Arabidopsis thaliana: one gene and its partners. The protein of the gene in region 4 purifies or fractionates together with the protein of the main gene of each other region. This does not show direct contact. Each region holds a gene or a part of one and is shown on either strand. Other genes may lie near its edges. The genes, in order: EMB2719, MDAR1, AT1G57720 and PDLP1.

Region 1 (8,227 bases), on a different chromosome or scaffold from region 4:
AACAACCGCCTCTTAGGGCGTATAAAATCAGAAACAGAAACGAGACAAGAATTAATTCTCTCGTCCAAATTTCTTCTGGGCAGAAACCAACATTTATCCTTATCCGATTCTTCTAGGGTTTCGGAAGATCTAACCAGAACCTTCGCAACAAGGTAAGCATTCAAGCAATTTACTGAGGATTTAAGAAAACCCTGTTTCTTCTAAATCGTGGATTGAACGAGAAACCTTAGTTTCCATCGCTGGTTACATTTTTTTGAGAAGGACTCTTCTGATTTTGTGTTGCTTTTCAGATGGATAAGTATCAGAGAGTTGAGAAGCCGAAGGCGGATACGCCGATTGCTGAGAATGAGATTCGTATCACCAGTATGGGTAGGGCACGGAACTACATCACCTATGCGATGGCTCTTCTTCAGGTATTGCGAAAAGATGATCTGGTATTCATGGTTCTATGAATTGGTGTAGTGATGAGATTTGGTACAGTGTAGATTATCTATATGATATAATTGTAAGTTCAAAAAATGCGGTTTCATAATCCAGTTGCATTTATGTTATTTGGATGCATCTTGGTGATTTATATCAATTTCTTACGTTTCGTGTCGGATTTAGTAGAAAACTTGTACATGAATTTGCTTTCTCAAAAGTGCAAGTTATTGATTAACTGTTTTCTTTAATTACTTTCTCGCTGCTTGCTATTCAAACTTTTTTAGTACTTAGTCATGTGATTAGTTGATTTTTTGACATAGAAATTTTGCTTTTGCTTCTTCTTGAAACTTTTGTTTTTGTAACGGAAGTTGTTTTGTTATCTTATAGGAAAACAAATCGAATGAAGTTATCTTCAAGGCTATGGGAAGAGCTATCAACAAGAGTGTGACCATAGTTGAGCTGATTAAGGTATTTTCTGGTTTTAGTCTGTTTCCTGATCTCAGAGTTGTAGTTCTTTTGTGTATCTGAAGATTATATTGTTATCCTTGATGCAGAGAAGGATTCCTGGTCTTCATCAGATCACATCTATTGGATCAACGGACATTACAGATACCTGGGAACCTACAGAGGAAGGCCTTCAAACGTATGTGGTCACTAGACTTTAGTATCAAGTTTATTGTTTTAAGTGTACCGGAACACATGTAACCATGTTGTATTCTTAATTTTGTTACTTTGACCTGTTATTTATTAAAACTCATCTTTTTCTCCTGAAGAATTGAGACCACGAGGCATGTGTCGATGATAACCATAACACTTTCCAAGGAGCAGTTGAACACATCCTCAGTTGGGTGAGTTTCTAGGACTGGTTGTTTTGCTATTTCTCGTCTATTCTCTTATTGGGGATTTTGTTGTTTTGTGTCTAGAGAGGTACATTGTCTCCAATGCTAATATATCTTATTAAATAATGCTATAGGTACCAGTGTCCGATTCCTATTGAGATGGTGAAGCCATTGGCTGAGATTGACTACGAAGGGCAAGGTATTTTAGAGTCTCACTCTTAATGACGTTTTTAAGCTCCCTGCCCTGCTGTCTTTTTTAAGTTTTTAAATTATCTCTTTCTTGTAGACGGATCTCCTAGAGGCAGAGGAGGAAGAAGAGGTAGAGGAGGAAGAGGAAGGGGAAGGGGAAGAGGTGGTAGAGGTAGGATTACTTTAGAAATTGTTTATACAGTGTCGTAGTTTCGTTGTAAGCTTTTGCATGTGATTTGTGGATAAGCGTTTGAGTGGACTGTGCTAATTCCTTTTTTCGACTTATCAGGAAATGGACCTGCGAATGTTGAGTATGATGATGGAGGAAGGGGAAGAGGTGGCAGAGGTAGGATATCTTTAGCCAAATCGTATTTGAGTATAGATTTTTGCATATGATTTGTGGATAAGGGTTTGAATGTGTTGTGCTATTTCTTTTTTTGTTTGATTTACCAGGAAACGGATATGTGAACAATGAGTATGATGATGGAGGAAGGGGAAGAGGCGGCAGAGGTAGAATTGCTTTAGAATATTTCTTTCCAAATCTTAGTTTTACCTTTTAACATATTTGCATGTGATCGGCGGACAAGTGTTTGATTGGCTTGTGCTATTTCTTCTTTCGGATTTGCCAGGAAGTGGATATGTGAACAATGAGTATAATGATGGAGGTATGGAGCAGGACCGGTCATATGGCAGAGGACGCGGGCGTGGGAGAGGAGGTGGACGTGGTGGTCGAGGAAGAGGAGGTTACAATGGCCCCCCACCACCTTACTATGAAGCTCAACAAGATGGAGGAGACTATGGATACAACAATGTTGCTCCTCCAGCAGACCATGGATATGATGGTCCTCCGCCTCAGGGACGTGGTACGTTGATGATTTTGTTACACTAATGTTTTCTCATTAAATAATGATGAGTTGTAAATGTTTAAAAATTGTTGGAACAGGACGTGGCCGTGGAAGGGGAGGTCGTGGAAGAGGAGGAGGCCGTGGTGGATTCAACAGATCAAATGGAGCACCTATCCAGGCTGCTGCATGAGCGACCAGGGTCATTGAATGAAGTTGGATCTTTCTTACATTCTCATGTTTTTGTCTCTGTTCTTCAAAGCAACTTGTTGCCGTAGAATAATCTTTCGTTCATGTCGCTTTAGGTTATATATATCCTCATTTATTTTATCATGGATCTTGGATTTTCAAGTTTTTATTCCTTCAAGAGTTTTCTAGTTTTGTCTCTTTTTTGAGTTTTGGATATTTGTTTGACTCCAATTACATTCGTCGGCGTATTGACACTAACAAGTAAACAACCCCCTTTGGCATTGCCTTTTTCCATTGGTTCGTATATCAGTTGATTATATATTCTAACAACATAAAAAGATAACAAGAAAAAATAATGAATAATAAAATTGTAATTCCAAGTTCCAACGTGTTTTGAGACAAAAAGAAATTAACCCAACTTGCGCTGGTTGTGTTTTGGGCTATTCGAAGAAAGCGTACGAAAATAAGTGAGAGAGGTCCAAACAAAACTAGTAACCAAAAAGTTAATCGCCGTTGCCGGGGATCGAACCCGGGCCACCCGCGTGACAGGCGGGAATACTTACCACTATACTACAACGACATTTGTTGCTCAATCGTAATGTAGAAGATATAAATACTAATATGGAAAAAAGCTGTCTTGAACAAAAAGAAATATACTTTTTTTGTTGTGTCCAAAAAAAGGAAAATACTTAGGAAAGAAAAGAGTCTCAGCAGCATCAGCTCGTCCTTAAATCTGATCCATCATCGTCACTTTCTCCCGGCGAATTCCGTTTTATCGATTTAGTAAGCTCTCTGTCTTTATCTCTCCGTCTTTCTCAGTCAACAAATTGGTTGAAACTTCAATCGGTTCCTTGAAATCTCACCGGCTTAGTTGCATACTTCTGCAAAAACCCTAACCTTGTTTTTGTCTTTGTGAAGAGTAACGAGATTTGTGCAAAGATGACTCAGGACGTGGAGATGAAAGATAACAACACCCCTTCTCAATCGATTATCTCTTCTTCTACCTCTACTATGCAGAGTAAATCTCGATCTGAATGCTTTAATTCTCGAACTGTTTTCATAATTGCTAAGTTTCTTCTGGGTTTTGACGCTTTGTTTCTTTGTTTCCCAGATTTGAAGGAGATTGCAGCACTCATCGATACTGGGTCTTACACGAAGGAGGTTCGTCGTATTGCTCGTGCTGTGCGTCTCACTATAGGGCTTAGGCAGAAACTCACCGGCTCTGTGCTCTCTTCCTTCCTGGATTTTGCTTTGGTTCCAGGATCCGAAGCTCACTCTCGCCTCTCTTCCTTTGTTCCTAAGGTATTTGTGGGTTTTACTTCTTCACTTTGATGTTTCAGAATTCTCAACTTGGTTGTTCCTTTTAGCATCTGGCTTTAGGTTGTTTAGATTCGTGTTATGGTTGTTATACTTTCTTTTGATGTTGTGAATGGCAAGTTATCTAACATACAACTGGCTTAGAGACTGAAATATTGGAACTTTTAATGGTTTAGGGTGATGAACATGACATGGAAGTTGATACTGCCTCATCGGCCACACAAGCTGCTCCTTCTAAGCATCTACCTGCAGAGCTCGAGATCTACTGCTACTTCATTGTTCTTCTTTTTCTGATTGATCAGAAGAAGTACAACGAGGTAACTACTGCTGTATCTTTGTGTTTTGTCATAAGTTACTTTTCTGTTGTGATTTTAATTTTAATGAGTTGCTTTTAATCATCTCTTAGGCTAAAGCTTGTTCTTCAGCAAGCATTGCTCGTCTCAAGAACGTCAACCGAAGGACCATTGATGTGATAGCATCAAGACTCTACTTTTACTATTCTTTGAGTTATGAGCAAACCGGTGATCTTGCTGAAATTCGCGGGTTAGTAGCTCAAAGACTGTTTTAGTTTTGTACTTTGTCTTACACCTCATATTAATCAGTAGCTCAATAGTTAATAATCTGGTCATTTTTTCTACCTGCAGTACTCTTCTTGCGTTGCATCATTCTGCAACGCTAAGACACGATGAGCTGGGTCAGGTATGTCTTTGTTTAGCTCATTCAGTCGGCATTCATTATTTTGAAACTGTTACTTGCTTCTTATTCAAATTTATCATGTTGAATGCAGGAAACCCTTCTGAACCTGTTGCTACGTAACTATTTGCATTACAACCTCTATGATCAGGCAGAGAAGCTAAGATCAAAGGCACCTCGCTTTGAGGCTCATTCAAACCAACAGGTAGCTCTTGGCTATTCCTTCATACTCTAAGTTTTCTCGGTTCTCTAGATTCTATATTTGCATGAAAACTCCAATGCCACTTCTGCAATCTTTCCAGAGAATTATTTTTTCTATTCGCTATAGCATTTTCCATCTAGGAGGCTCTTGTGTTTTCTTTTCAATCACTAATTATTTGCCGAACTTACTTGAAGTGTCCATTTTGCCTGTCCTTTTCATACTTCTGACACCACCTCTTACCATTACCATCGATCTACCTTGTGTTTTTCTTTGCTACATATGAATTTTGTTCTTTTTTTAACCCTTCAATTGTTACTGTTTCAAAAGAATAAACAGCAAGATGACTTGTCTAAAACATTATACTTTGCAGTTTTGTAGGTACCTTTTCTATCTCGGGAAGATTCGTACTATTCAGCTCGAATATACGGACGCAAAAGAGAGCCTTCTTCAGGCGGCCAGGAAAGCCCCTATAGCAGCTTTGGGCTTCAGGATCCAATGCAATAAATGGGCAATTCTGGTTCGTCTACTGCTGGGTGAGATACCAGAGCGTTCTATCTTCACTCAAAAGGGTATGGAGAAGGCCCTCAGACCCTACTTCGAGCTAACAAATGTGAGTCCACTTTCATAATCTTGCTGCTGTGACATGTATTCATTAATTTATGAGCGGATAACTAAACTGGTATTAGTATGTGGTCACTTGTGATCTTGCTACTTCACTTCTGATTTTAAACCGGTTCCTACTTTTCACTTACTGGCCTATACACCTCTTCTGTTAAAATCTCTCTGTGGTCACTTGAAACACAATTTTGTTGCTGCTGTTGTTTTCTGCTCCTTCGAATTATATTGAACATGAATTTCTGGCTGTTTACTGTTGCTTTTTAGAGATATATGATGCAACTGGATAGTTGATACTGATTTTGATCTGAGGCTTACTATTAAAGCTCTGTTTTGATTTTACAGGCGGTTAGGATTGGGGACTTGGAGTTGTTTAGGACAGTCCAGGAGAAGTTCTTGGACACATTTGCTCAAGACAGAACGCACAATCTCATCGTGCGACTCCGCCACAATGTCATCAGGACTGGACTGCGGAACATAAGTATCTCCTACTCAAGAATCTCTTTACCCGATGTTGCCAAAAAGCTGAGGCTCAACTCTGAAAACCCTGTGGCTGATGCGGAAAGCATCGTGGCAAAGGCCATACGCGACGGAGCTATTGATGCTACAATCGATCACAAAAACGGATGCATGGTCTCCAAAGAAACTGGGGACATCTACTCGACGAATGAGCCACAAACTGCGTTCAACTCAAGAATTGCTTTCTGCCTCAACATGCATAACGAAGCTGTCAGAGCATTGAGGTTTCCTCCTAACACTCACAAGGAGAAAGAAAGCGATGAGAAGAGGAGAGAGAGGAAGCAACAGGAAGAAGAGCTTGCTAAGCATATGGCTGAGGAAGACGATGATGATTTTTAGACAAAGGTCATCTATTTCTTATAAGAGTTGACTCTCCATCTGTCTCACTTTTTTTATGTTCACAAGTTTACTTGGTACTCTTCTCATCGTCTCTAAGTGTTTCTTTATTGAGGATTTTTATCCTCAGGAACCTTTTTATTACTCTGGTTTCACTTTAGGAAAAGATATTTATCTTGTTGGTTTCAGAAGATCAAATTCAACTTCGTTTAATTGTGTTTGGGAGATTTTCGCATTTTAAGAATTGAACACTTGTAGTTATAGCTAGCTGTATTAGGTGGGTCATTATTAGAAATTGACCATGTGAAATGCTATCATCTCCAGGCGATGCATACCATTAAAATCCACATTCATAATTTACATTAAATGATAGATAAGCAGTCATAAATATCTAAAGAATGAAAACAGGACATGTGTATTGACCATTATGTGTATTGATACATTAGTCTATCTCTGCCAAACTAGGTCTCATTTTCTTGAATAAAACAATCTCATGTTATGCTTTTAATTATAGGTGTTTCTGGTTCGATTCATTAACTTCTTAATAATGACAAAAATCTGTAGAATAATACCCGGGCTCTTTGATAGCTACAACTGCCAACTATTTAATCCATACAATCAAAATGTAATTTTCATAATTGTAGATTTGTAATGGGTCAATATATTCTTACACTCTAATCATATCCAAACAAGCTCCTCAATTCCTTAATCTTGTTGTATCCAGTATCCATATTTTGTTTTCTTACTGCGGAAGTTACTTGGTAGTGTAGTCTGGATTTCGGATTGCAGACTTTGCAGTCCACGATTTTTCATATGTTGGTGACAACGAACAAGTGTTAAGTTGACGGAAGTGTTCGTAACAAACGACGTCGTGACGGTGATCTTCATCAACTTTGATTGGAAATCAAGTTTTGAGGGACAATTAACCCAAAAAAATAATCATAATGATAATGAAAGAGATTTGGCGTGTTGCTAATAATGTAGGACAAGTGAGCATGTGAGAGTCTGTGACCGATGAACCTGCTCAGACCAACCTGCACATGATTGTATCACAAACAAAAAACTCTCATTTGTCTTTCTTTCGTCTTACTTTATTCATTTTAAGCAAAAATTAAATATCCACCGCGTTGCACAAGAAATCATTTACCCATATGATTATTCTCTTAGTTTTGAATTTTTGATGACCATGCTGATTTAAAATTTGCAATCTTACAATAACTTTAACTTATGTATAAAAAAAAATGCTGCATCAACCAATAAAACAAAACTTTAGGATTACAAATGTTTGGCTATGAGTAAATCAAGATATTATCTGCTTCAAGTCTCTTTTTCTTATATAATTTCAGAGGAAAATGTTTATATATAGTTCAAAGCAATATTAGTGTAACCAAAGGTAAATTTTGTATGAACTTTTTGGAGGAATAGAAATCCATCTGCAGCATTATTACAAACAGAGTTTGCAGATCTACTGTCTTTTTTTGGACTTATACTGTTACTAACAAAAATACACATGTAAGAGATTTGCCCAAATAAATAAATTAAAGATACACACAGGCTAGATAAAGATAAGACCACATGTAAGGTTTTTGTTGCTATACTACATTAGTTTACACTCGCTTCCCACCTTTATTTAAACAACTCTCACCTCCTTCACTCGATCATCATCATCATCATCTCTTTCTTCTTCCAAAAGTCATAATCATGTCAAAGTCTCTAGCTGGATTGGCGGTTTTGGCCGCTCTTTTTATTGCGGTTGATGCGTTTAGGCCTTCTGGTTTAACTAATGGTCACGCTACATTCTATGGAGGAAGTGACGCTTCTGGAACAATGGGTAATTTCACACTTTAGTTTCATTATGATCTGACTCTAATGGATTTGTTCAAATAACGAAATTATTTTTGTTGTTTTTTTCCAGGTGGAGCTTGTGGTTACGGAGATCTTTACTCGGCGGGGTACGGGACAATGACGGCGGCGTTAAGCACGGCTCTGTTCAACGACGGAGCTTCTTGCGGAGAATGCTATAGGATAACGTGTGATCACGCGGCGGACTCACGGTGGTGCTT
Region 2 (8,123 bases), on a different chromosome or scaffold from region 4:
GAGAGTTAAGAGATGATCAAGTTGAAAAAAAAAACATGGTGGGTCCCACAGCATATGTTTGCGGGTTTTTTCCTCATTTTATTATGCCTCAAAACAAATAAAAATTACTACTGTATTTTTATTACATATTTCACTTCAGAAGATATTTAATTCCATTTCAAAACTCTTTTATTATTGTTCATAAATTTATCTGAATTGTTATTGTTCTTTTATTTAAATAATTCGAGCTTTATTTGGATTTATGCTGTTTTTATTCATAGAAACAAGTATTTTAATATTATATACTGTCATGTCAAAACTGATTTCACCTCCCGGAAATGTTGATGATCAATAATTTACTTCCACCAATATCATGACATATTTGACCAAAGTCAAATTGCCAAAGAAATTTCCCATCATTCATCGAATAGTGACTAATCTATAAAAGTTGTATATCATGCTGATTTTTTTTTTTTTTTTTTTCAAAGTCATAACACTGCTCTCCAGTTGAATCTTAGATCACTAGAGTAGTAGAGGTCGACTAGATGTCTTTATCTAGCCATCTATGATTCTTCTAATCGAGCTAACTCAATCGGATTATATCAATAATATATTATAGAACTTTATTAAATAGTTTCTTTTTTTTTTTTTGGGCAAAACTAAATTGAAAAAATAATAGGGAAAAATTGAGGAAAAACCCCTTTACAATCAGAAATCCCATAAGAAAGATTATCTTGATGAAAAGATTAGTTTAGTGTAATCAATAAAAATAAATAATTACAGTATTTCGATCGTCGTATGTCTTAATTTACTGCGAACACATGGTAGTAGGTAAGATTGGTGAGAAGATAAAAATAGATGTGAATGCTTTTAAAATATAACGGTGGAGCAATATTGTCAGAATAAGACAGGTAGCCAATGCGCAGTTCTTTTCAAAATGTTTTTTCGACAACACTTCTTTCGAAGAAATAACGTTTTTATTTTGTAGATTCATATAATTTAGCAAACAAAAAAAGAACACTGTAGATTGATATGTATTTTGAATATATATTTTTAATCAGTCTTTCAAATTCATAACTATGGAACTATACTAGTACCATTTTACCTCAAAGTTCAGACATCAGATCATAAGATAAAAGTATTGAACATACAATTAAGAATTAGGCCTGTTACTAACTTAGGAAACATTAATGATTAACGAACGATATGTTCAAATTTAAGCAGACGAAAATACTACAAATCAGTCTAATGTATAAAATATTTCTGATAGAATGACTATCAGAAAGATAATAAAAAGTGGAAGGTGACTGCATTTTTATAGCCAAGCCGAGACTTTTTCGTGGGTTACTTAACTAGTTTATAGTATTTATATTTAGTTTTAGTTTTAGTTTGGTTTTATCAATTGTATGTGAAGCGGTAATAGATTAACATGATCATAATCATTTTTAGGTGTGTTGACTTTGTGTATGATGGTAGGTCAATGGGTCATATATAGATTACTTTGGATCTCGTTGATAAAGCTTATACACACGCAGGCAAATCGATCCTTTTCCTCGGTACAATATACAATGCGATTGCAATTTACAAGAAATTAGAATACGTTTTTCCACGTAAAACAGTAAATTATATGCATCATTAATTACAAATATCTCAAATAAAAACTAAAAACCATTATTGCTTCATTAGCCACCCAAGACAAATGAATTAAAAAAATAAGAAAGAATGAACTAGAATCTAATAGAAGATGCATAGGAAAAATCAAATAGAGTCTAATGGAAAATGCATAGGAAAAATCAAATAATATACAACCGTAACCATAAGATCAAGAAACATAACTTAATGATACATGATCGAGATTAATAACAACAAAGTACTTTTGAATCTGGCAAAAAAGCCTAAATCATACAGTTGGAACGTGGTGTTAGGAAATAATAGAGACTTGATAGGTCTTTGAGAACCCTTTGAGCCTAGGATTCCTCTTTCTGCGCCTTTAATCTCTTCCCTCATGCTTTTAATCCCCATTAAATATATTGTAAACACTAAACTAACACAAAAATTAGATGTGTTACGTCCGCTTCTGATTTCTTATTTAACTTAAACCAACCATCAACATCAAAAGATTTTATTATACAAACATATGCATGCGCATATTTAAATATATCAATGGTCCTGCTAATTATTTTATTCGATTTTTAAAAATATTTTGCATCTTTTCAAGAAAAACGATTGATGGAACCCAGATTTTTTCGTTTAAGATCAATTTGAACCATCATTCAATTTTATTTTTTAAAATGTGAATTTTCATTAATAGTGTACAAAATACAAAAAGTACCCATACTTTTATATATATTAATTTAAAAAATAAATTATTTTCGCGGTGTACCGCGGATTAAACTCTATTATATATATATATATATACTTATTTTTGTATCTCAAACATTTATACCAAGTTATGATGCAATGACTGCACTAATACTATGAGCCACTAGATTAAATGTCTTTGTCGCAATATTTCATGATGTGTATATATAAAATTTAGGTATGGATGTTTATAATTATTGCGTGGACGGCGAACAAGAAACAACGGTGCACAACGACAAATGATTCGAGTTATGTATATTCTTGATAACTACTATTAAACAAAACAATATCAATAAGAACTAAGATCTGAGAAATGAGAATCCGAGGAAGATGAGATATATAGGGTAATCAAATTAGATTTGGTAAAAGAAAAAAATAAAAAGAAAGAGAACAAGCTAGAGAATAAGGCAACAAGTATAGGTTTCACATGTTTGTGTCGACAGGCCACACCCCCATAAAAGGCTTGCTTGGCTTTTTTGTCATTGTATGCATCTAATCCACTCCACCAATTTTTTCTCCTTCACTTATTAATTCGATTTTTTAGCTATACACAGTATTTTGAAATTTGAACAATTAAAAATAAAAATGAGCATTCATCCAAATGGGTTATTGTGACTGCCTATAGTCTTGGATGGGAATGTGTAAATTTTAGTTCCTTCAAAGATTGATACTTATTACGTACAGATTGTAGTAATAAACCTATTTACAAATATAATTGCTGATAAATCAAAATTTATGGTTGTTTTAGTCGAATTGTTAATCATGTGATGGTCAAATGGGTTATCATGTGGGTCGAAGGACTAAGCTTCATGTTTCTTGAATTTTGTTATTTTGGGCCTTAAGAGGTCAGGAAAAGAAGCCCAATAATCTAAAACCCATCATTTGTGGACTTTTCCACAACTTATCCAATAACGTGGCACATTTGTGACTTTTCCACCAACTATTTTTCGGGTTAATTAAAAAAGACTTAAGAATCAATCAGTCCTTTATTTCCGTCCTTAATTCTTTTTACTTTCCACATATAGCATGAACCACGACGGTTGGATAAATTCAACGGTCACAATATTGCCACGTGTAAGCTTTGTATCTACATCCTCCAATCAACGGCCAAGTCTTGGTTAAGTTTTAGCCAATTAGAGTCACTCAGCTCATATTAGCCTTTTTGCTCTTTCTTTGCTTCTCTAACAAACCAACTTCAGCGACAAGATAACAAAACGCTTTCACACGATCGGATAAAATGGCGGAGAAGAGCTTTAAGTACATCATCCTCGGCGGCGGCGTCTCTGCCGTGAGTATCTTCCTTCCTCCTTAAGTTTTTTCAGCCATTGCTTTCGATTTTCGAAGAGCTTGATTCGATTTGTGTTGCGAAATGCCACAATTCTCGTAGTTTTTTTGGCTTGGAGTTTGTTATTGTTAATCAGATAGCGATTACGATGATTATAGATTGTGATTCATAGATTTAAACGTCAGATCGGCGGCTCTGCTTCTAGTTTCTAGTATCGTTGAGATGAATTTACAATCGAAACTTGATTTTGAATCAAACAATCGTATGTTGATTGATTGTTTTTTCGACGTAAAACATGGATGTAATCTGGTTTCCTCTGCACAGAGCATCTTAAAAACTTCCGATTCAGTTCTAGTTCTTTTGTTGTTGTTAAGTGTGAGAAAAGTGTATCTCTGCAAAATCACTTGCAGATGGTTAATAGTAAGCATAGTATCATCAGGATCCTCTTTAGTTTATACTAGCTCAGATTAATCGTATAGTCACAGATGTTAATGAAGAAAATTCCAAAGAAATAACTAAATACAGAAGCAAATTCAACTCTTAACCTTTGTTGTATCCTTTTCTCCATTTTTGTGTGTAGGGATACGCAGCTAAGGAGTTTGCCAATCAAGGGGTTCAACCAGGAGAATTGGCTGTTATCTCGAAAGAGGCGGTAAGCTTCCTCTCGATTTGGAAAACTGTGATTATGCAGTGTGTCTTGTAACCTATGATATGATGATCCTTATGTGGACTTGTCTTCTCTAATCCTCACACCTTATTTACTCTATATGGTGGCTTAGGTGGCTCCATATGAACGCCCTGCACTTAGCAAGGGGTATTTGTTTCCTGAAGGTAAGACAATTTTCTACTTTACTTTGCTAACTACAACGTTTAATTTTGATTTGCTGAAACTTGGCTTTGGTTTATGCTTTTTATGATAATCTTTTTTTGTTGCAGGGGCTGCTAGACTTCCAGGTTTCCATTGCTGTGTTGGTAGTGGTGGAGAAAAACTGCTTCCTGAATCCTACAAGCAGAAAGGTAATGAACTGTCTGCAACATCACCAATATCAATGCCCTGCTCATCTGTGTAGTCCCACTGATCTATTATAACATTACATTACTCTCTATACAAGCTTAATTACTTATGTTATTGGAACTAAATCGTGCTATGATTTTTTTGTTATCCATTGTGTTTGTAGGAATTGAGTTGATACTAAGCACAGAAATAGTGAAAGCTGATCTCTCTGCCAAGAGTCTTGTCAGTGCAACTGGGGATGTCTTCAAGTATCAGACGCTCATAATTGCAACTGGTTCTACTGTAAAGACTGATATACTTGCATTTCTCACATCAGAATGCTTCTTATGAATTCTATTACAAGAAGAAAGTAACTCTTTACCTTCCTTTGCAGGTTCTCAGATTGACTGATTTTGGAGTAAAAGGTGCAGACTCTAAGAATATCCTCTATCTGAGAGAGATTGATGATGCCGACAAATTGGTTGAAGCAATTAAAGCTAAGAAAGGTGGAAAGGCTGTAGTTGTTGGCGGAGGTTACATTGGTCTTGAGCTTAGTGCAGTTTTAAGGATCAACAATTTAGATGTCACTATGGTTTTCCCTGAACCTTGGTGCAGTAAGTTGACTAGTATCCTTTTGCTATTCATGTAATATATGACATTGTTACACGTAATGAAAACAAAATGTTGACGCAGTGCCTAGGCTTTTCACCGCCGATATTGCTGCTTTCTATGAGACTTACTATACAAACAAGGGAGTGAAGATCATTAAAGGAACAGTGGCATCTGGGTTCACAGCTCAGCCAAATGGAGAGGTAATCAAAGAAACATTAGCTAATAGAGTGGGCAATCCAATTTAAGTTTTGGTTTGATTTTATAGAAACTAAAGTCTAAAACCAAATTACAATGTTATGTTTAGGTTTGGTTTCGTTTGACGAACTCGATTAATTAGCTTTTCCAAATGGTCTCGTTGCAAATGTCTTACTTGTATTATATAATCCTCCAGGTGAAGGAAGTACAACTCAAGGATGGGAGGACATTGGAAGCCGACATTGTGATAGTTGGGGTTGGTGCAAAACCATTGACATCCTTATTCAAGGGACAGGTCGAGGAAGATAAAGGTGGAATTAAGGTATTTATCTGCTGCCTGTGCGTCTCTTCTTCTTCTTATCCCGTACCATTCTGATTTGGATCTTTTAAATTGACTGCTTAACTGTTTCACACAGACCGATGCATTCTTCAAAACAAGTGTTCCAGATGTTTACGCTGTTGGTGACGTTGCTACTTTCCCTTTGAAAATGTACGGAGACGTGAGAAGGGTCGAGCATGTTGACCATTCCCGCAAATCAGCAGAGCAAGCTGTTAAGGTAAATAATGCTTACAATATGGCTGATATCGCTACACCAAAACCCTATTAATCCATACCATAAAAAATGCAACGCAAACTCTTGAGGCCTAAATCTTATAGATTAACATACAGTTGTATATATCTGATGAAGCGTTTATATATGTGATACATTGTGGCAGGCGATCAAAGCGGCTGAGGGAGGCGCAGCGGTGGAGGAATACGACTATCTTCCATTCTTCTACTCTCGCTCCTTTGATCTCTCATGGCAGTTCTACGGAGACAACGTAGGAGACTCTGTGTTATTTGGAGACAGCAATCCATCAAACCCAAAACCAAGATTTGGAGCATATTGGGTTCAAGGTGGTAAAGTGGTTGGAGCATTCATGGAGGGAGGTAGTGGTGATGAGAACAAAGCCTTGGCTAAAGTCGCCAAAGCTCGACCTTCTGCAGAGAGTCTCGACGAGCTCGTGAAACAAGGAATTTCCTTCGCAGCTAAGATCTGAGTGAAACACAACCACCAAAACAAACTCACGTTTTCTCTTCTATGTTAAAATAAAAACTTGTTTAGCTATAATAAGTTGTGTGTTTGTATTGTCTCTCTAAACTCCATGAGAAGAGTCTACGGCAGAGGAAACCCTGAACCACATTCACATTTTAGATCATGTGTTTGGTTTTCTGTGTTTCAGTATCTGTCTTGGTTTCTTAATGTGAACAACTCCAAAACCACATTTACTGTAATCTCAAATGAAGGGAGTAATTTACAATATGAAAGCAAATGGGCCTTGAAATAGTAATTCGTAGACTCTAATGGGCATTGGACGACCCTTGAAATGTCAATTCGATCTTTAATTGGACATCTCTCATTGTTCCATGTCCTCGGCTCGACTAGGTTTTCTTAGAATTAGTTTTGATATATACACAAACCGAAGAAAACTTGAAAATTTTGAGTTAGAAATTCATAAATTTAACATGATATTAGTCCCTTTTGCTAGTGATAATCAAATTTATTTCCAGTCGTAGAGTGGAATTCAGTTAAATCTACTCATTCTAAATATATTAGTTAGGAATAATGTTATTTATAATGTGGGATTGTGAAAGCAAATATTGATTAATGTGAATGAAAAGATGAAATACTATGAGCGTCAGATTCGCTTTTTGGATTTTCTCTTTTTGTTGGTTAAAGATTGAACAAAAACTTAGCAAAAATTGAACTGCATTTAAGTTATTTTCTTTGTTCGATTTTGTTAGTAATTCTTTTGGTTTAGTTTTAAATAGTATAACTTTGTGGTTCTCTGAAAGAAAACTTGTTTGGACACTTATAAACGCTACGATCAGATTCATAATTTTAAAGTAATGGGAATTACGTTGGGTATGTTCACATGTGATGAGCCAAACTGTTATTAATTAGCATAACGAAAGATGTGATGCAAGATGCATATTCATAAAGTTTGTTGGTGGGGCAAACTCTATTAAGTATGGAGGTCATAGTGTTAGGTCTTCGTCTTAAATTTAAAGTAAACTGGAAATAAATAAGACAGTGAAGCACAACCAAAATTTTCATTTAATATCTCTTATTTTTGTGTGATATGCTTAATTTGTGAGGAGGATGACGAATAAACTGATTTTATGTGTCTACGTTTTCCCCCCTAATAAAAAGACAACAAATATGGTGGGACATTTATGACTTAAAAGAACAATCAACCTAATCCACTATTTAGAATATAAGTTGTAATTTTTTTTTTTATTAGTCGACGAATAGCTGTAATTTGTGTGTGTGTGTGTGTGTATATATGACGTTTTTCAGAATTAACAAGTACTACAAATCTATGATCAGTTCAGTTTCAAGGTTATTAATCGTGTTTAAGAAATTTATCTTCTGAAACGTTTTTATTCAGATCACATCTTTCATCATCATCATTATCCTCTAAGATTTAAATTTCTTGTAACCGATAGACAAAAACAATATTATTTATATAAGATGCGGAAAAGTTTAAGATGCGTGGTGGTATTTAGTTGAATGCCCAAATGTGTAGTAGATACAGTCGTCTGCTAGAGACTTTTGCAGTAGTTGAATAGCAGATTTAGAAACTTTTGAAATGTGCTAGGAAAAATTCATGTGAATCCCTTTTGGTGGAAAGTAAGTTGCATAGCATCCTTCG
Region 3 (7,960 bases), on a different chromosome or scaffold from region 4:
ATTCTTTTGGATAATCTAATAAATCTTGATCATAGAGAATAAAGATTCACCAATCACTAAATCCTACTCTGTAGTGAAAAGTGAAAACGATGTTATTATTCGTCAACGAGCTCTCAAACTAAAGTTTAGAAACCTTTTTCTATCTCTCTCATTAAAACAGATATCGAGAGACTAGTTTCGTCTTGACTGCATTAAAAGTGAGGCGTTTTCAATTTCATTCTAATATAAAAAATTAAAAAGAAAAATATTTTTCCACTGCCGAGCTTTGAACTCGGAAATCAGATGTTTAGACAGCTGTTTTAACCATTGTGCTACAGCGGATCTTTGTATAAATCAACGGATTTTGAGATAAATCTTTTTTTTTATCAACCACAAATTATTTAAAATATAACTTCATGATTGATTGCCTAATTTGGAGAGAAATAGTCTATAAAATAAATTTCCGAAAGCAGTAAACGAGAAGAGCGAACTAAACAATCCACCTTACAATTATATAAACGAGAAATATAAGAAATCGAGAAACCGGAAAATAACACACAAAGCATTCTAAACTCATCTAGTAGATTGGATAAAGTGGGTCATTCTTCAAGAGACTGCACCATCGAAGACTAACTTCTAACAATCTGTTTCAAAAGCCTTACAATCAATCCTTCTTGAAAGGATATTCTTCATAACCCAAATTAAAACTTTCATCTCCGAGTGTAGGGAGGAGGGACACCTCCGAAGACACTTTGCACCAAGAAAGACCCTTTGATCATTTCCTTGAAAACACCCAAAGATTTTCATGAACCATCAATCTAGTATATTAGAGATTGAATTGGATTAGCCAAAATTTTCCTATTAACATCGGGCCATAACTGCTAATGATCCTGACACAATTTGTCATAGAAATTTTTTAATTTTAATTTTTGCAATATTCTTTATGAAACATATGATTCTTTATGAAACATGATTCTTTATCGCATTAAAAAAAAGATATTTTCTATCGGGCTTTAAACCTGGCAATCAATTATCAATGAGATACATTAACCATTATGTTACTGCAGATCTTGGAGTAAACCAAAATTTTTTTAGATAAATCATGAATTAACCATATTCTTTTCGAAACAAAATATCTTTGAGTAAAGCAACAAATCTTTAGATAAATCATGAATTTACAGTATTAGGATTCTTTTTGTAACATATGAATATATTTTGTATATATATATACATCAATGTAAAGAATTACATGCATAAGTTTTTTTTTTTTTTTTTTTTTTAGCAACATGCTTAAGATTTACTATTACATATTTGAAGCTAAATCTAAAATTGTAAATAGTACGTTTTTAGGTTTTACAAAAGCCTTCAAATTATGTGGAATATAAACCCTAAATATTGAAGAAAAGTTATTCAAATTCTGCTTGCAAGCTCAAGAAAAATAACATTCATCATATTTTCTGCAATATTCAGATTATTCGTTGATCACCTAATATCAAAGTATTTCTTGGTTTTTTTTTTTTTTTTTTATAAGCTGCATGAATCTTTCCACTGTTTTAATTAAACTATGTCAATCGAATATGCGGAGCTGAATCGAATTTTATCCTTCTGACTTAATATTTCTCACACTCACTCACTCTCTCAATCTCTCAAGAACCACCAAAGAAAGAAAAACAGAACAAGAACAGAGGATCCAAGAAATAGGAAGAAGAAAAGACGTGAGGCTTTTACGATTTCGGGACTTGATTGAGATCCCTACGTTACGTAATACTTGCAATTCACTATCTTCTCAGTAACTGAATTTCTCACACGAAATTACATATGTTAAAATGTATATATATATCATACACAAGATGGATCCTTGCTCTACCTTTTTATAGCATGCTTTGTTACAACAACTTTTTTTTTAATTTGGTTGTTGTAAAACTTTGTTTCAACAATTATAACAGCCTTTTAACATAACATGGACATTAAACCAAACCTAAAGCGAGTCTACAGCAGCTCAATTATCGGTTCTAATCCGATATGCACATAGCCAACCCACGGTTAAAAGTTGATTTCATTTGATTTCCATCACCAAGGTCAACACTATCAACGTTTTTTGTTTTTTTTGGTCTAACTATCAAAGTTTAATTTCCCATAATATGAAGCTAACCATGCAATGTTGTAAACCCGAATTACATTTTGGTTTCTTAGACTTGATGATGAGTTGATGACTAATTGAAAACAAATTTAAGAGCTTACTAGTGTTCTCTCCAATGCTTCTTTTTTTTTAAATTGGAATTGATCACACACATATATATATTTACGCATATATGTATATATGGATGTGAACAATTAGTATTATTTTACAATAATAGTAAAAAAAAAAATGAACTTACAAATTACAAACCAAACTTGACGATATATGCATGCTCTTTGAGATCATCACACGAGTTGGTCGGAGCCACCTTTCGCAGTCTTGTCTGCTTCGGCTGGTCCATGTTTTTTCTCGGCTTTACTATCTGCGATTCTCTCTCGAGGGCTACACAAGATTCTTCCCAGAAAATGGGAAGCAATTGCCAAGAATATGATCACTATGACGATCAAACACCATTGCCAGATTGGAACCTCCATATCTTTAGTTTGGATTTTTGGTCACACAAAGTAAACGCAGTGCAGAAGAAGAAGAGGCGGAAGATGCTTGAAATTAAAGTTGTTGGTACTGTTGACCAAAAGGAGTAAGTTGTGAAGAAATGATACGCAAAGACTTGTGGAAGGTAACCAATTTTGTAAACTTCGTAGAAGAAATCGAACTCAATAAAAAAACATCTATATATGTATGACATACGAACAATAACATAGTTTAGTGGACCTACCAATAATGCCCTCTAATAGTTTTGGAAGCTACTTAATTAAAAGATTTTATTTCATTTTCACAAAGTGAAAGAAGGGTTACAAAATTCATCAATTTTGTATTTATTCAAACCCATACTTGGAGTTGGTGTATCAAAAACCTAATTATATTAATTGGCATTGTACGTGGTAACGTTTTAGTTTACATCTATGGATCAATCTTGCATAATAAGTTAATAACCCTTTTGAATTTAAAAAGCACAACACAACTTATTTTTAAAAAGGATATATCATTTTCGGATTTAAAGTTTAGTTTGTATGGTCTAAAACTTTGTTTTTGGTTGTCGTTTAGGATATCTTGGAGAGGAAGAAACCACATAGAGACATGAATCAGAGAAGTAACTTTGTGAGGTTGCTTCTACGAATTTCGATGAACTAGTGTTTCTTTTTCTTCTTTTTCAACAACATGCGAGTTTGGCACACCAAGGATATGGATACAACCAACTAAACTACATATCAAAATGGCCATGGGGAAATGTCAGCAAAATCTGTCAAAAAATGCAAAAACAAAACTCCAACTTTACTTTGGGTAAAACAATACGCTAATTTTTATTATGTTATACATAAATGCAAAAGTTATAATCGTTTAAACCTTAAAAATAAGCAAACCAAATTTGACAAAACCAAAAGCTAAACCGAATCAAACGAAAAAGGAATATTCTCCAAAACCGACTTCACACAGCCCTAATTTCCACACTCTAATACTATTTCTCGCCGCCGCTTTTGTATCTTCTTCTCTCTCGCTTTGCTCTCTCGGAATTGTTTTTGCAGAAAGTCTCTCGTAAGAATCAATCTATCAACTTCTTCTTCATATACGCTTCTCTCGTTTCAAAATTTCATCGACGATTAACTGATTTTTACTTGGTGTTTTCTTTGGTAACTAGATCTGAACTCAGAAAATCTCCGAGTTCGTATATCTTCTCCGTTTGAGCAATGGCGTTGGTAAGTACTCACTTCTGAGATCATTACACGTTTCATCAGATCCGTCACGATTGGTTTTACTGATCTGTTGATGATAGTTTATGAATTTTGATTCATGTATCTTAAATCTGGGAATATAGTTTGATTTTAGAATGATTTAGGTATCTTGGACGATTGTTTATTAATCTGAGAACTGGATTTTGTGTTGCATTGAAAAACTACTTTGGATGAATATAACTATGCAATTTCTGTTGAGTTTCATTGATGAAGTTTGTGTAAATCATACTATTTATCAGGTCATGCACACATACAAGGGAAACAAAGGTGCCAATAAGGCACTTATTGCTGCAGAGTATGCGGGTGTGAAGATCGAGGAGTCCGCAGACTTTCAGATGGGCGTCACTAACAAGTCACCTGAGTTCCTTAAGATGAACCCTATTGGAAAGGTATGGAATCTCTTTCGAGAAGTTTTGATTGATGTTTGCTGTAAATTCCTAGCTAATAAAAGATTATGATCCCACTAGGTTCCTGTGCTTGAGACTCCTGAAGGTCCCATATTTGAGAGCAATGCCATTGCCCGATATGGTATAACTTCATTTCCTTCTGTTTCTCTTTGATGCACCTATCTATAACTTGGTATTAATTGGATATGATGATTGTTTTGTTATCCCCCTTCAGTGAGCCGTAAGAATGGTGACAACTCTTTGAATGGATCCTCCCTTATTGAATACGTAAGCTCCTGTTTATCCAATGGCCTTTCCTTTTAAAATTATCGTACCTTTGTGTTTATCTCTTGTTTACTATCATTGATTCATGTCTATGTGCATGTGTTTACTTTTCAGGCTCACATTGAGCAATGGATCGATTTCTCCTCATTGGAGATTGATGCTAACATGTTGAAGTGGTTTGCTCCAAGAATGGGCTATGCTCCCTTCTCTGCCCCAGTAAGCTTTCCCTCATTTTTTGTGCCTTGTCTCATGCACTCTCTGTACTAACAAATCATGCTACTCCTTACTCGCTAAGATTAGTATTTGACTAGTCTAAGCTTGACTAATCTTTTTAATGGTTTTATCTGAATGAAGGCTGAGGAAGCGGCAATTTCTGCATTGAAGAGAGGACTTGAGGCTCTGAACACACATCTCGCCTCCAACACTTTCCTTGTTGGACACTCTGTCACCCTTGCTGATATTGTCACAATCTGCAACTTGAACTTGGGATTTGCCACCGTGATGACCAAGAAATTTACCTCTGCATTCCCTCATGTTGAGAGATACTTCTGGACAATGGTTAACCAGCCAGAATTCAAGAAGGTGTTGGGTGATGCCAAACAAACCGAAGCTGTCCCTCCAGTTCCTACTAAGAAAGCTCCACAGCCTGCTAAGCCCAAGGAGGAGCCCAAGAAGGCAGCCCCTGTAGCAGAGGCACCAAAGCCTGCTGAGGAGGAGGAAGCACCAAAGCCTAAAGCCAAGAATCCTCTTGACTTGCTACCACCAAGCCCAATGGTTCTCGATGACTGGAAGAGGCTTTACTCGAACACCAAATCCAACTTCCGTGAGGTTGCTATCAAAGGTATGTTATATGATGACTTCTGTTAATTGTTCTTTAGAAGAAATTGTTCTAGGTTTATGGAATCAACTTGTTAAGAAGAAAGCTACAAAAATCCGAGACAATGTGCTGTGACATCCTTATAATACCAGTGCTTACTAACGACTCTCTAAACAATTCACAGCTGCTCTAGTCTACTAAATTGCCTCCTAAGCTAGATATAGTAGACTTAGAGGGGTACTCACTATGGTTTATGGGACATGTATGGCCCAGAGTCTGAAAGTACATTCTATTAAGCTCAATGCCTTGAATGTTTTTCTTCATTGCAGGATTCTGGGACATGTATGACCCGGAGGGGTACTCACTATGGTTCTGTGACTATAAGTACAACGATGAGAACATGGTCTCCTTTGTTACACTCAACAAGGTAGGAGGGTTCCTTCAGCGTATGGACTTGGCACGTAAATACTCCTTTGGAAAGATGCTTATTTGCGGGTCAGAGGGTCCTTTCAAGGTGAAGGGTTTATGGCTTTTCCGTGGACCAGAGATCCCCAAGTTCATAATGGATGAGGTGTACGACATGGAGCTGTACGAGTGGACTAAGGTTGATATCTCCGATGAAGCACAGAAGGAGCGTGTTAGCCAGATGATTGAAGACGCTGAGCCATTTGAAGGCGAGGCTCTTTTGGACGCCAAATGCTTTAAGTGAAAAGGCTCTTTGTATCTCCGTAGAGGTTTACTCTGTTACTCGTGTTTTGATACCTTCTAGAGAGTCCTTACCACCTTTTGAATCGTACTCGGGTTTAAGAACTAGTTGCTTCTCAATGTTATTTTGACAGAATATTGTTCTTAAATACATTACAACTTCTAGTTATTGTTTTTATTTTGTTTTTTATTATCCAAACTCGTGTGTGTGACATTCTCTCTTTAAATTAGTTGCTTGGAAGATGCAAAGAATCTCGTTTAATGGGGCATACTGAATTTCATTTTAAAGTTGTAATATTACACGTCTCTAACTTGTCTCTAACACGTCTCTAACTTGATGATTCAGATATGTTCACTAAAACCCAAATTCCTTTTAAGCCAATCGAATGTTGGTCTACACAGCAACATTTAAGAGATAGGTGTAAGAAATAGAGCCATGAGGTGAGCTTATAAGGAGAGTGTATGTTGAACATGTTCATAGATATTAGGTCCGAGAGGCTTAAAATCACTCAAGTTTATTAAGATGAGAAGATATACCAAGTAAACCTAATTCGTTCTCTACAAAGAGTTTAATGACCAAAATAAACAAAAGGTAGATTAAGATCTTGTCTTAAGAAAATCAAATAAATCGAATCATTACTATATTATCTCAAACAAATCGAATCATTACAATATCATCTCAAGAAAATCAACAAATCATCATTCTTAACCTAAAAACCCTAAAAAAAGAAATCTTCATGACTCTGTTTAGGAGTAGTAGGGATAATCGTCGTCATCTTCATCTTCAAGAACAGTGCGGCAGAGAGGGCACAAATTACTATGACCCAACCATTTGTAGATACAGTCATTATGAAAGACATGGGGACAATTCGGCATCTCCTGATAGTCATGTACATCCTGTGACATATCCTCCAAACAAATAGCGCATGTCTTGTTTTCTAGAGGAGAACTAGAAGTGGATTCTTCGACGAATCTCACTGTGACGTGAAGGTACATGTCAAACGGCGCTGGAACTCGTTCGGATGCTAAAGCCATCTCAACGCAAAGACGAGTGCCTGAGATACTGTCTGGAAAGATTGTTTCGAGGAGAGGAGAGGTCTTGTGTGGATCAAAGTTAACGACGTCTTTTAAGATAAGTTGAGTGATTTGGAACAGAGGAGCATCATCACACTTGTCGTCGCTCTCACGCTTGAGATTGATCTCCACTGTATTCGATGAAGACTTGCGTGGACTCGGAAAGACGTTAACATCAATAGTGATTTCTGGAACCATTGTTGGTTTTTGGAATTAGAAGACAAAGGTATGAAACCGAACAAGAGACGGAGGCAGAGAGGAAGTGATGGTCTTTGTGTTGTGATGAATGTTGTTGACAAGTGATCTTGTGTTTGTTGTTAATTTTATAACTAAACCTTAAGTCGGCGATTTCCATTTTTTTTACAATTTCCTTTTTTGTAATCTCGTTTTTGTTTTTACAATTTCCTTTTTTTGGTTTTAACCTCATATTTTTAGCTTCTCAATTAAATATTATAAAATCTCTAGTTATCATAACTACGTAGGTTTTTGTAACATCTTTTTTTTTCGACATCCATAACCACTAAGATTTGTAACTAGTAAATTCTACAAAATTATCTCAAATCAAATTAAATCTCCATAAAATTTAAAAGTATCCAAATAAATCCAAATCACTAATTTAATTTTAATGAAGCATAGACAGAGATTGCCAGTGTTCTTTTGGGGGAAAGCACCTGGCTTTGCTAACTTCAGGGTTCTTAGACCATTAAGAAAATTTATAACCTAGTAATTTGCTATATATGTTTGCAATGTTAGCTAGAGAGGCATAACAGTGCAAAATCCTGCAATAGCAACATCTTCTTGTCTCTTGACAAAGTATAGGTAATGATTTTGTTGCACAGTATAA
Region 4 (6,900 bases):
TAAGCCATCCTTGCTGCAGATTTCTTCAATGCATCAATGTTCGTTGTGACAAACGGCAAGTTTTTTGGCAATTGGTTAGCTGAATCTCTCCCGTTTGTTGCCAGGTCCAGGTAGCAGCTACAGATGTCGTTCATAAAACCAAGCACAGAAAAGTTGGGGTCCAGTATTTTGTATGATCGGAGACACTTCTCCTCCATTGCTCTTCGTAGTTCCTCCATAGAAGGTAAATGGGGATTTGATCCTCCAGTTGCAGGAGCAAAACTAAGATTAATCTTCACCTCGCCTGAAGCAGAAGAAGCTAATTCAAGTGCTGGAGGTTCTTCTATGGTTGCAGCTAGCTTGTGATCACTAAATCTCGCAACAGTTGTAGGAGAAATGTCATTGGTAGTACCATCAGCAGTACTTACTGTTTCACCAGCCTTCTCTTCCACATGTCCATTTGATTTGTCTATCTCAAGCATGGAAGAGTCCCCTCTATCTACTGAATCTACAGAAAACGTACAAGACACATTAGTTTTGGAGAAAGTAGCTTCAACAATCATAACAACAAAATGAGCAATGCAAATAAGATTTAGTTACTCCTATTTACAAAAAAGTACCAGGAATAGAACTGAGAGGCATATTTGTAATGGGCTCGACTTTTGTAAGAATGAGCTCACCAGCATCATGGTCATTTTCAATTGGTACAGGATGATATGGCAATAGGATCGGAGCATTTTCTTCGTCATTAATTGAAGGTCCCTCTAAAGTCGGACTGCCCAAGCTAGGGCTTGCCAAAGCAGAGCCTCCTTCACCTCTGCGTCGCAGCCTCTTTAAAGGGCGATCAGACTCAGCCATAACATCTTCGTCATCCTCGATAGACTGATATTACACAACAGAAACTGAATAAACAAGAACATGAAGACACATTACTCTAACACAGCAAAGATATTCAGTTTGCCATACTTCATGGAGCTTTTTCTTTCCTCTGTCAACTTCTGCGGCCTGAAAGATTGGATCAACAACAAAGTGAAGCATGGATAATAAAGCAACATTGAACTAATAAATGGAAGATTGTTTGGAAAAAACATACACAGCCTTCATCCTCTTTAACTTCGTCTGCCTTCTTTTCTTCGCTTTCTTGAATAGCCTTTATATAAGTAAATCAATATGGAATGTCAAGGTAATAACAAAGACAATGATTACAACAGATTTACAAAAAAAAAAACAGTAGATCAAAGAGAGAACAAAGAAAGATACCTGATCTTCATGGCTATCGAAGATAGCATCAGCAAGAACCCTGTAATTGTCTTCAGCAATTAACTCCCAGTTTTTCTCGTAAAGGGCGAGAAGGTTTTTCAAGACCGGCTTCACTCGCGCATCCTCTATTCCCATAGCCCTCATAGCCATAAATGCTTTCTTGATATGCAGATTAGGTGCCATCGTTTCTGCACCAACAAAACTAAAACTGATTGTGGGATTGCTTTCGTGAAACAAGTTGTAACTTCTCATTTGCCTCGTCCTATCAAAATGCGGAAGAAACAAGATGTGAAGAGCCGTTCAGTAAGGAAATAAATGTGGCCAGAACTCAAAACATTACAACAATAAGCAAAGACAGACCTAAAGCAAATCAACAACAAACCAAGACTACAGACATCTACCTAGCAGCAAAGACTAACCACAAGTAGCAGAAAAGACTCAGAAATTGAATATCCTAAGAAAGTTGAAACCTTTCCTCTTAAGAAAACACAATCGCACAAAGAAACTCTAACAAAACGTTGTTTTTTCTCTTCCAGAGAGCTAATAGCGTTTTCAGATGACGATGAGACTCAAAAAGGAGAAGACTTTCGTCGGAAATTAGAAGAACTTACTAAGTACAGAGACGAGAGGGTTAGGGTTTAAAGCGAGCTCGGTACAGAGAAAGGATTCCACGATTTTGACTTACTTAGTGAAGAATCTTGGCCGTAATAAGCAAATGACAACGGCGTAGAGACAATGTCGGTGACGACGGCAGAGTATTACGTCGGCGCGTGAGAGTACACGCGAGGACAGTGCCAGGTGAAATTTCGTTTCTTTCTCAGTATCTTGTTCGACTGTGACTTTTTGTTGACCCTCTCTCTTTCTTCTTCTTCTCTGCTTAATGGGCCGGGCTTAATTGGGTCGGGTCAAACTCAATAAATAAGCGAATCTTATTGACCTCTTAAGATTTGTTTTTGATCTTACTACTATCATGTGTATGTAACTATGTATGTCTCAAATTCTCCGGTATTTAAATCCAATGCAGGCAGTTCTGGTAACCTTATTTTATAAAAATTATTCACTAATATTGTATAGGGAATCTATACTTAATTAAGAGTTTCACATATCTTTTACAGTATACAGTATTAGTTCTTTCCTTTTGTAGTCTTTAACTCTTAATGATTTTGAAACATTGGGGAACACCTCTACTTCTCCGAGCAATCTTTTTTTTTTTTTTTTGGGCAAATGCTTGTTTTCATTCATCTACAAGAGAAAACAAGTACAAAGGTAGAAGGATTCTAAGATCACAAAGTTTTAACATACAACAAAGATAGGCATTCCCCAATACCATAAAAGGTAAGCAAAAGCATAGGTAAAATACATCAACAAAGGTTCCAAGAGAGCTATAATCCAAACACACAAAGGCAATTTGGTTCTTGTGAGATCAAGGGTTGTTGACAAATCTTCCACACTCACCAACTCAAAATATATCATATAGAATGTGAAATCCAAAATCCTGCAAAAACAATCATGCTTATCATTAACTCAAAATAATCATAGTGATAATATCTTTTGTAGTTTACAAAAACACACAGGTTTATTATTATTTACTCCAGTTACTACGCAATTATGTTCTGAAATTATGTAAACTCAAAACGATCATGTTTTGTTTTGTTTTGGACACAAAATAAAATCGAATCAATCATTCACATTTACAACAAGGTCTAAGATTTTATTTTCCTTCTCGTATCAGCCTACAATTTAAATCAAACTCATCAAAATATATCTTAGTGCCTTAAACAAAAAATACATATACACAAAAGGTGTTTTTCCATCAATGTCCTAAAACAAAATCCAAATTCAGACAATAAAGTCAGATTTAATGGCATTAAAGGTTATTCACTAAATTCAACAACAAAAAAGAAGAAACAGTAATCATTTTTTTTTGATACTGTATTACATAATCTCCTAAACCAAATCTATATAATAAACACTTGTCGTCTCAAAGTTTCTTTCTTTTTTATCTTACCCTTGAAGCAAGATCCAAAGAAAAGTATACTCCTTTATTTTTCATGGTTTCATACTACAAAACCTGCTCTTATTTACATTTTTTTGTCTTTAAACCTCAAAACAAAAGACAAAAAAAAAACGGAAAACTTTCTTTTTTCCGGACACATAAAAACAACACAAACTTTATTAGACAGAAACAAACTAGTAAAAAGATTTTGAACATCAAGAAACAAAAATCTCTCTCTGTCTTTCTCAATTATGAAACTCACCTATCAATTCTTCATCTTCTGGTTCTTTTTACCATTCTTTGCAATCTCCGGTGATGATGATTATAAAAATCTGATCTTTAAAGGTTGTGCAAATCAGAAATCTCCAGACCCAACTGGTGTTTTCTCTCAGAATCTCAAAAACTTATTCACTTCTTTAGTTTCTCAATCATCACAAAGCTCTTTCGCTTCCGTAACCTCCGGAACTGATAACACCACCGCCGTGATCGGTGTTTTTCAGTGCCGTGGCGATCTCCAAAACGCTCAGTGTTACGATTGCGTCTCCAAAATCCCTAAACTCGTTTCTAAACTCTGCGGTGGCGGCAGAGATGACGGTAATGTGGTGGCGGCTCGTGTTCACCTCGCTGGATGTTATATCCGGTATGAGAGTTCAGGATTCCGGCAAACTTCCGGTACGGAGATGTTGTTCCGTGTCTGTGGGAAAAAAGATTCTAACGATCCTGGGTTTGTCGGGAAAAGGGAGACGGCGTTTGGTATGGCGGAGAACGGCGTGAAAACTGGATCATCCGGTGGTGGTGGTGGCGGAGGAGGTTTTTACGCGGGGCAGTATGAGTCGGTGTATGTGTTGGGACAGTGTGAGGGTAGTTTGGGAAATTCAGATTGTGGGGAATGTGTGAAAGATGGATTTGAGAAAGCAAAGAGTGAGTGTGGAGAGTCGAACTCGGGACAAGTTTACCTTCAGAAGTGCTTCGTTAGCTATAGTTACTACTCTCATGGTGTTCCCAACATAGAGCCATTATCAGGTATACACTAATTAAATCACTGTTATATTTTTCCTTTTGATATAATACTTTCAGATGATTAGAAAATTAGTTCTCTTATTAAAGAGTTTTAATCGTATAGGTCGAATTGGTAACATAAAACGGTAAATAAAAACTTTAGCGCGAAACAGAGTAATAGAAAAATGGTGGAATTTAGTAGTATTGGTATATAATTAGTTGGTATCACTGTTTATGTTTGAGGTATGAATTAGTACGGTAATATACTTGATATGAATCGAACACATATATGTATCTTTAGTTGAAGTATGAAAAAACTTTTTTCCATTTTAGCGACATATTTTATCTCTACGGTAAGGAGTTATTTAATCGAATAATAGTGAGTGTTAGATTTTGTATACAAATATTAATAGTTCGGTGATAGTTACACACACATGAATCTCGTATAAGAATGTGTATATCTTTATGTAGTTTCGTTGTCAAGTAGACTAAACAAAAACTAATGGAGACAAGACGAAAACAAAGAACTAGTAGTGGAAGAAGATATTAAAACCGAAAAACTAGTGGGGAAATAGATTACTTCGTTATAGAAAAGAAGAGATTTTTCCAAATGTTAGAATATTGACACATCATTCAGGTTACATGTGAGTGAGGCTAGCTAATATTTTTAATTTAATTTTCTTTGATAATTAAAATTTGAAATAAGTAATTATAATGGGAATGGCCATTAATGGGTGTTTGTGTGTGTGTGTAGGTGGAGAGAAGAGACAACACACAGAAAGGACGATAGCTTTGGCGGTGGGAGGAGTTTTTGTTTTAGGGTTTGTGATTGTTTGTTTGTTGGTTTTGAGGTCTGCCATGAAGAAGAAGAGTAATAAATATGATGCTTATTGATTCTTATTTTTACCTACCAATTCTTATTTTCCCAATTAAAAATTTAACAAGGTATATTAGAAAAATGATTAGTATAGCATGTCCAATTGTATATTCAATTATGATATTGATTTAAATACAAATAAATTTTGATTTTTTTGGAAAATTTTGGATGATATAAATACAATATTTATTAAGCTATTGGAATAATGAAGGATTAATTTTGTCATTTTTTTCTTTTGTCTCTCTGTCACTTAGTATCTAATTTCTTTCAAATCTTTCATTTTATTTAATTGCCCATTGAAAGATGAAAGTGATTCCTCAACTTACTGATTAATACTTGTTGTTCTATTTATTTCCAATGATTTAGATCAGATAAAAACCATACCCACTATTGAAAACAAAATATTAAAAGTAAAATGAAGCATCAAAATAGAAAATTGATGAAAACGAGAAAACACTAACAAGAAGTAAAGCAGCAGCTTTTTCTAGTGAAATCCAGTTTCAGTCGTTTTCATTGGGAAAGAGTGAAGCTTTACTGGTATCTCACTTTGGAAGTTTGGAGTTAGTGAGATTCACAGTATCCAACTATACATTTCACTACATCTATAAAACTTCTATCTATAGCATATAAAGTGATTGTGACACTATTCAAAGATATGCACGATTATGGTAAATGAAAAATCTTTCTACACTAGATTGTAACTCTGATTGATTTCAAAATTTGCAAGGCGCAGCAAATACATGGAACTTCAATGACCGTTCTTTTACTCAATACTCAAACCGGGTTAGGTATGTTTCAAAGAAAAAAACAGTTTGACGGCTGATAATCTGTTCTTCCACCACTGTTATGGTTAAGTTAGATCATGAACATGATTTCCCAAACCAAGAGGAGACGTGATAGACTTCATCTTTGACCCTAGACATAAGCTGAAATATCTTCTTTCAGCTTAAACCCTTTAACGAAACAAACACATAACAATTTGACAATCACATCAAAACATATCAGAAGGAACTAATCCCAGAACTCAAACTTCATCGCTCAAGTACCACAAACTAGAAGAAGACTAGTCTGTTAAAGGTAGAACCATTCAAATAAAGTGAAAATTAACCATATAAACAAGCTTCAGAACTCTAGAGCATTGAATACGCTTCTAGCATCACTTAAGTTAGAACCTGAACATGATTTCCTAAACCAAGAGGAGACAGGACTCACACACAAATCATCTTACATATAGATCTCTAAACCAAGACAGGACACACACACAAACATATCAGAAGGAAGTATCCCAAACTTGTACAAAACTCCAACTCCATAGCTCTCAAGTAGATGATCGCCATTCATACAAAGTGACAATCAACCATACTTAGACGCTTGAGAACTCTATGGAATCAACTTCATAGCCTAAAGATGCTAAATTTAACTAACTTCTTGCAATAGAAACAATTTCAACTGAATGATGAATCCGAGAAACCAGAATTATTGATTGCCAAATCAATCTCAAGATAATATATAAAACAACAAAGCCTGAACTTTATGAATCCAACGATGTGAATTAAACCACTCTTATACGAAATTCAAATTCAAACAACAACATATAACCAAAAAAACTCGTAAAACAGAGGACCCTAATCCATAATAAGGGATTCTTACAATCCCCTTTGCATTGGAGATGGTGGAGCTCCGAGGAGACTGGCCTGTTGAAGCTCAATTTCGTTGATTTGTGCCTCTCGATCCATCTCGATGATCAATGGAACAACAAGTATGAGAAAAGTTGTCCCAGCGATCCACG

Evidence for each region.
Region 1: the proteins of PDLP1 (region 4) and EMB2719 purify together in Arabidopsis thaliana (affinity purification with mass spectrometry, with the first as the bait; one study listed by BioGRID). This does not show direct contact.
Region 2: the proteins of PDLP1 (region 4) and MDAR1 purify together in Arabidopsis thaliana (affinity purification with mass spectrometry, with the first as the bait; one study listed by BioGRID). This does not show direct contact.
Region 3: the proteins of PDLP1 (region 4) and AT1G57720 purify together in Arabidopsis thaliana (affinity purification with mass spectrometry, with the first as the bait; one study listed by BioGRID). This does not show direct contact.

Annotation. Positions count from the first base shown.
Region 1 is NC_003070.9:6,999,349-7,007,575, reverse strand, and holds EMB2719 (PAM domain (PCI/PINT associated module) protein), read left to right. Parts: upstream 1-3,143; 5' UTR 3,144-3,265; intron 3,266-3,400; 5' UTR 3,401-3,421; coding exon 3,422-3,500; intron 3,501-3,593; coding exon 3,594-3,784; intron 3,785-3,975; coding exon 3,976-4,116; intron 4,117-4,205; coding exon 4,206-4,342; intron 4,343-4,443; coding exon 4,444-4,498; intron 4,499-4,586; coding exon 4,587-4,697; intron 4,698-5,064; coding exon 5,065-5,304; intron 5,305-5,654; coding exon 5,655-6,167; 3' UTR 6,168-6,489; downstream 6,490-8,227. Other genes in the region: AT1G20220 (Alba DNA/RNA-binding protein), read left to right, coding at 291-413, 811-891, 978-1,066, 1,197-1,271, 1,397-1,461, 1,549-1,623, 1,741-1,797, 1,905-1,961 and 2 more; EXPA11 (expansin 11), read left to right, coding at 7,866-7,995, 8,080-8,227. UniProt on the Arabidopsis thaliana protein: Acts as a regulatory subunit of the 26 proteasome which is involved in the ATP-dependent degradation of ubiquitinated proteins.
Region 2 is NC_003074.8:19,599,821-19,607,943, reverse strand, and holds MDAR1 (monodehydroascorbate reductase 1), read left to right. Parts: upstream 1-3,489; 5' UTR 3,490-3,577; coding exon 3,578-3,628; intron 3,629-3,949; coding exon 3,950-4,045; intron 4,046-4,205; coding exon 4,206-4,277; intron 4,278-4,404; coding exon 4,405-4,456; intron 4,457-4,561; coding exon 4,562-4,642; intron 4,643-4,803; coding exon 4,804-4,922; intron 4,923-5,013; coding exon 5,014-5,233; intron 5,234-5,312; coding exon 5,313-5,431; intron 5,432-5,622; coding exon 5,623-5,748; intron 5,749-5,842; coding exon 5,843-5,983; intron 5,984-6,143; coding exon 6,144-6,467; 3' UTR 6,468-6,731; downstream 6,732-8,123. UniProt on the Arabidopsis thaliana protein: Catalyzes the conversion of monodehydroascorbate to ascorbate, oxidizing NADH in the process.
Region 3 is NC_003070.9:21,374,069-21,382,028, forward strand, and holds AT1G57720 (Translation elongation factor EF1B, gamma chain), read left to right. Parts: upstream 1-3,251; 5' UTR 3,252-3,652; intron 3,653-3,666; exon of another isoform or gene 3,667-3,755; 5' UTR 3,756-3,804; coding exon 3,805-3,813; intron 3,814-4,088; coding exon 4,089-4,238; intron 4,239-4,316; coding exon 4,317-4,377; intron 4,378-4,470; coding exon 4,471-4,523; intron 4,524-4,634; coding exon 4,635-4,736; intron 4,737-4,874; coding exon 4,875-5,361; intron 5,362-5,666; coding exon 5,667-6,046; 3' UTR 6,047-6,311; downstream 6,312-7,960. Other genes in the region: AT1G57730 (RING/U-box superfamily protein), read right to left, coding at 6,790-7,314. UniProt on the Arabidopsis thaliana protein: Probably plays a role in anchoring the complex to other cellular components.
Region 4 is NC_003076.8:17,693,045-17,699,944, reverse strand, and holds PDLP1 (plasmodesmata-located protein 1), read left to right. Parts: upstream 1-3,254; 5' UTR 3,255-3,486; coding exon 3,487-4,258; intron 4,259-4,988; coding exon 4,989-5,128; 3' UTR 5,129-5,265; downstream 5,266-6,900. Other genes in the region: SUVR2 (SET-domain containing protein lysine methyltransferase family protein), read right to left, coding at 1-487, 600-861, 946-984, 1,073-1,129, 1,240-1,491; TOM22-V (translocase of outer membrane 22-V), read right to left, coding at 6,758-6,900. UniProt on the Arabidopsis thaliana protein: Modulates cell-to-cell trafficking. Required for systemic acquired resistance (SAR) which is mediated by the signaling molecules azelaic acid (AzA), glycerol-3-phosphate (G3P), and salicylic acid (SA).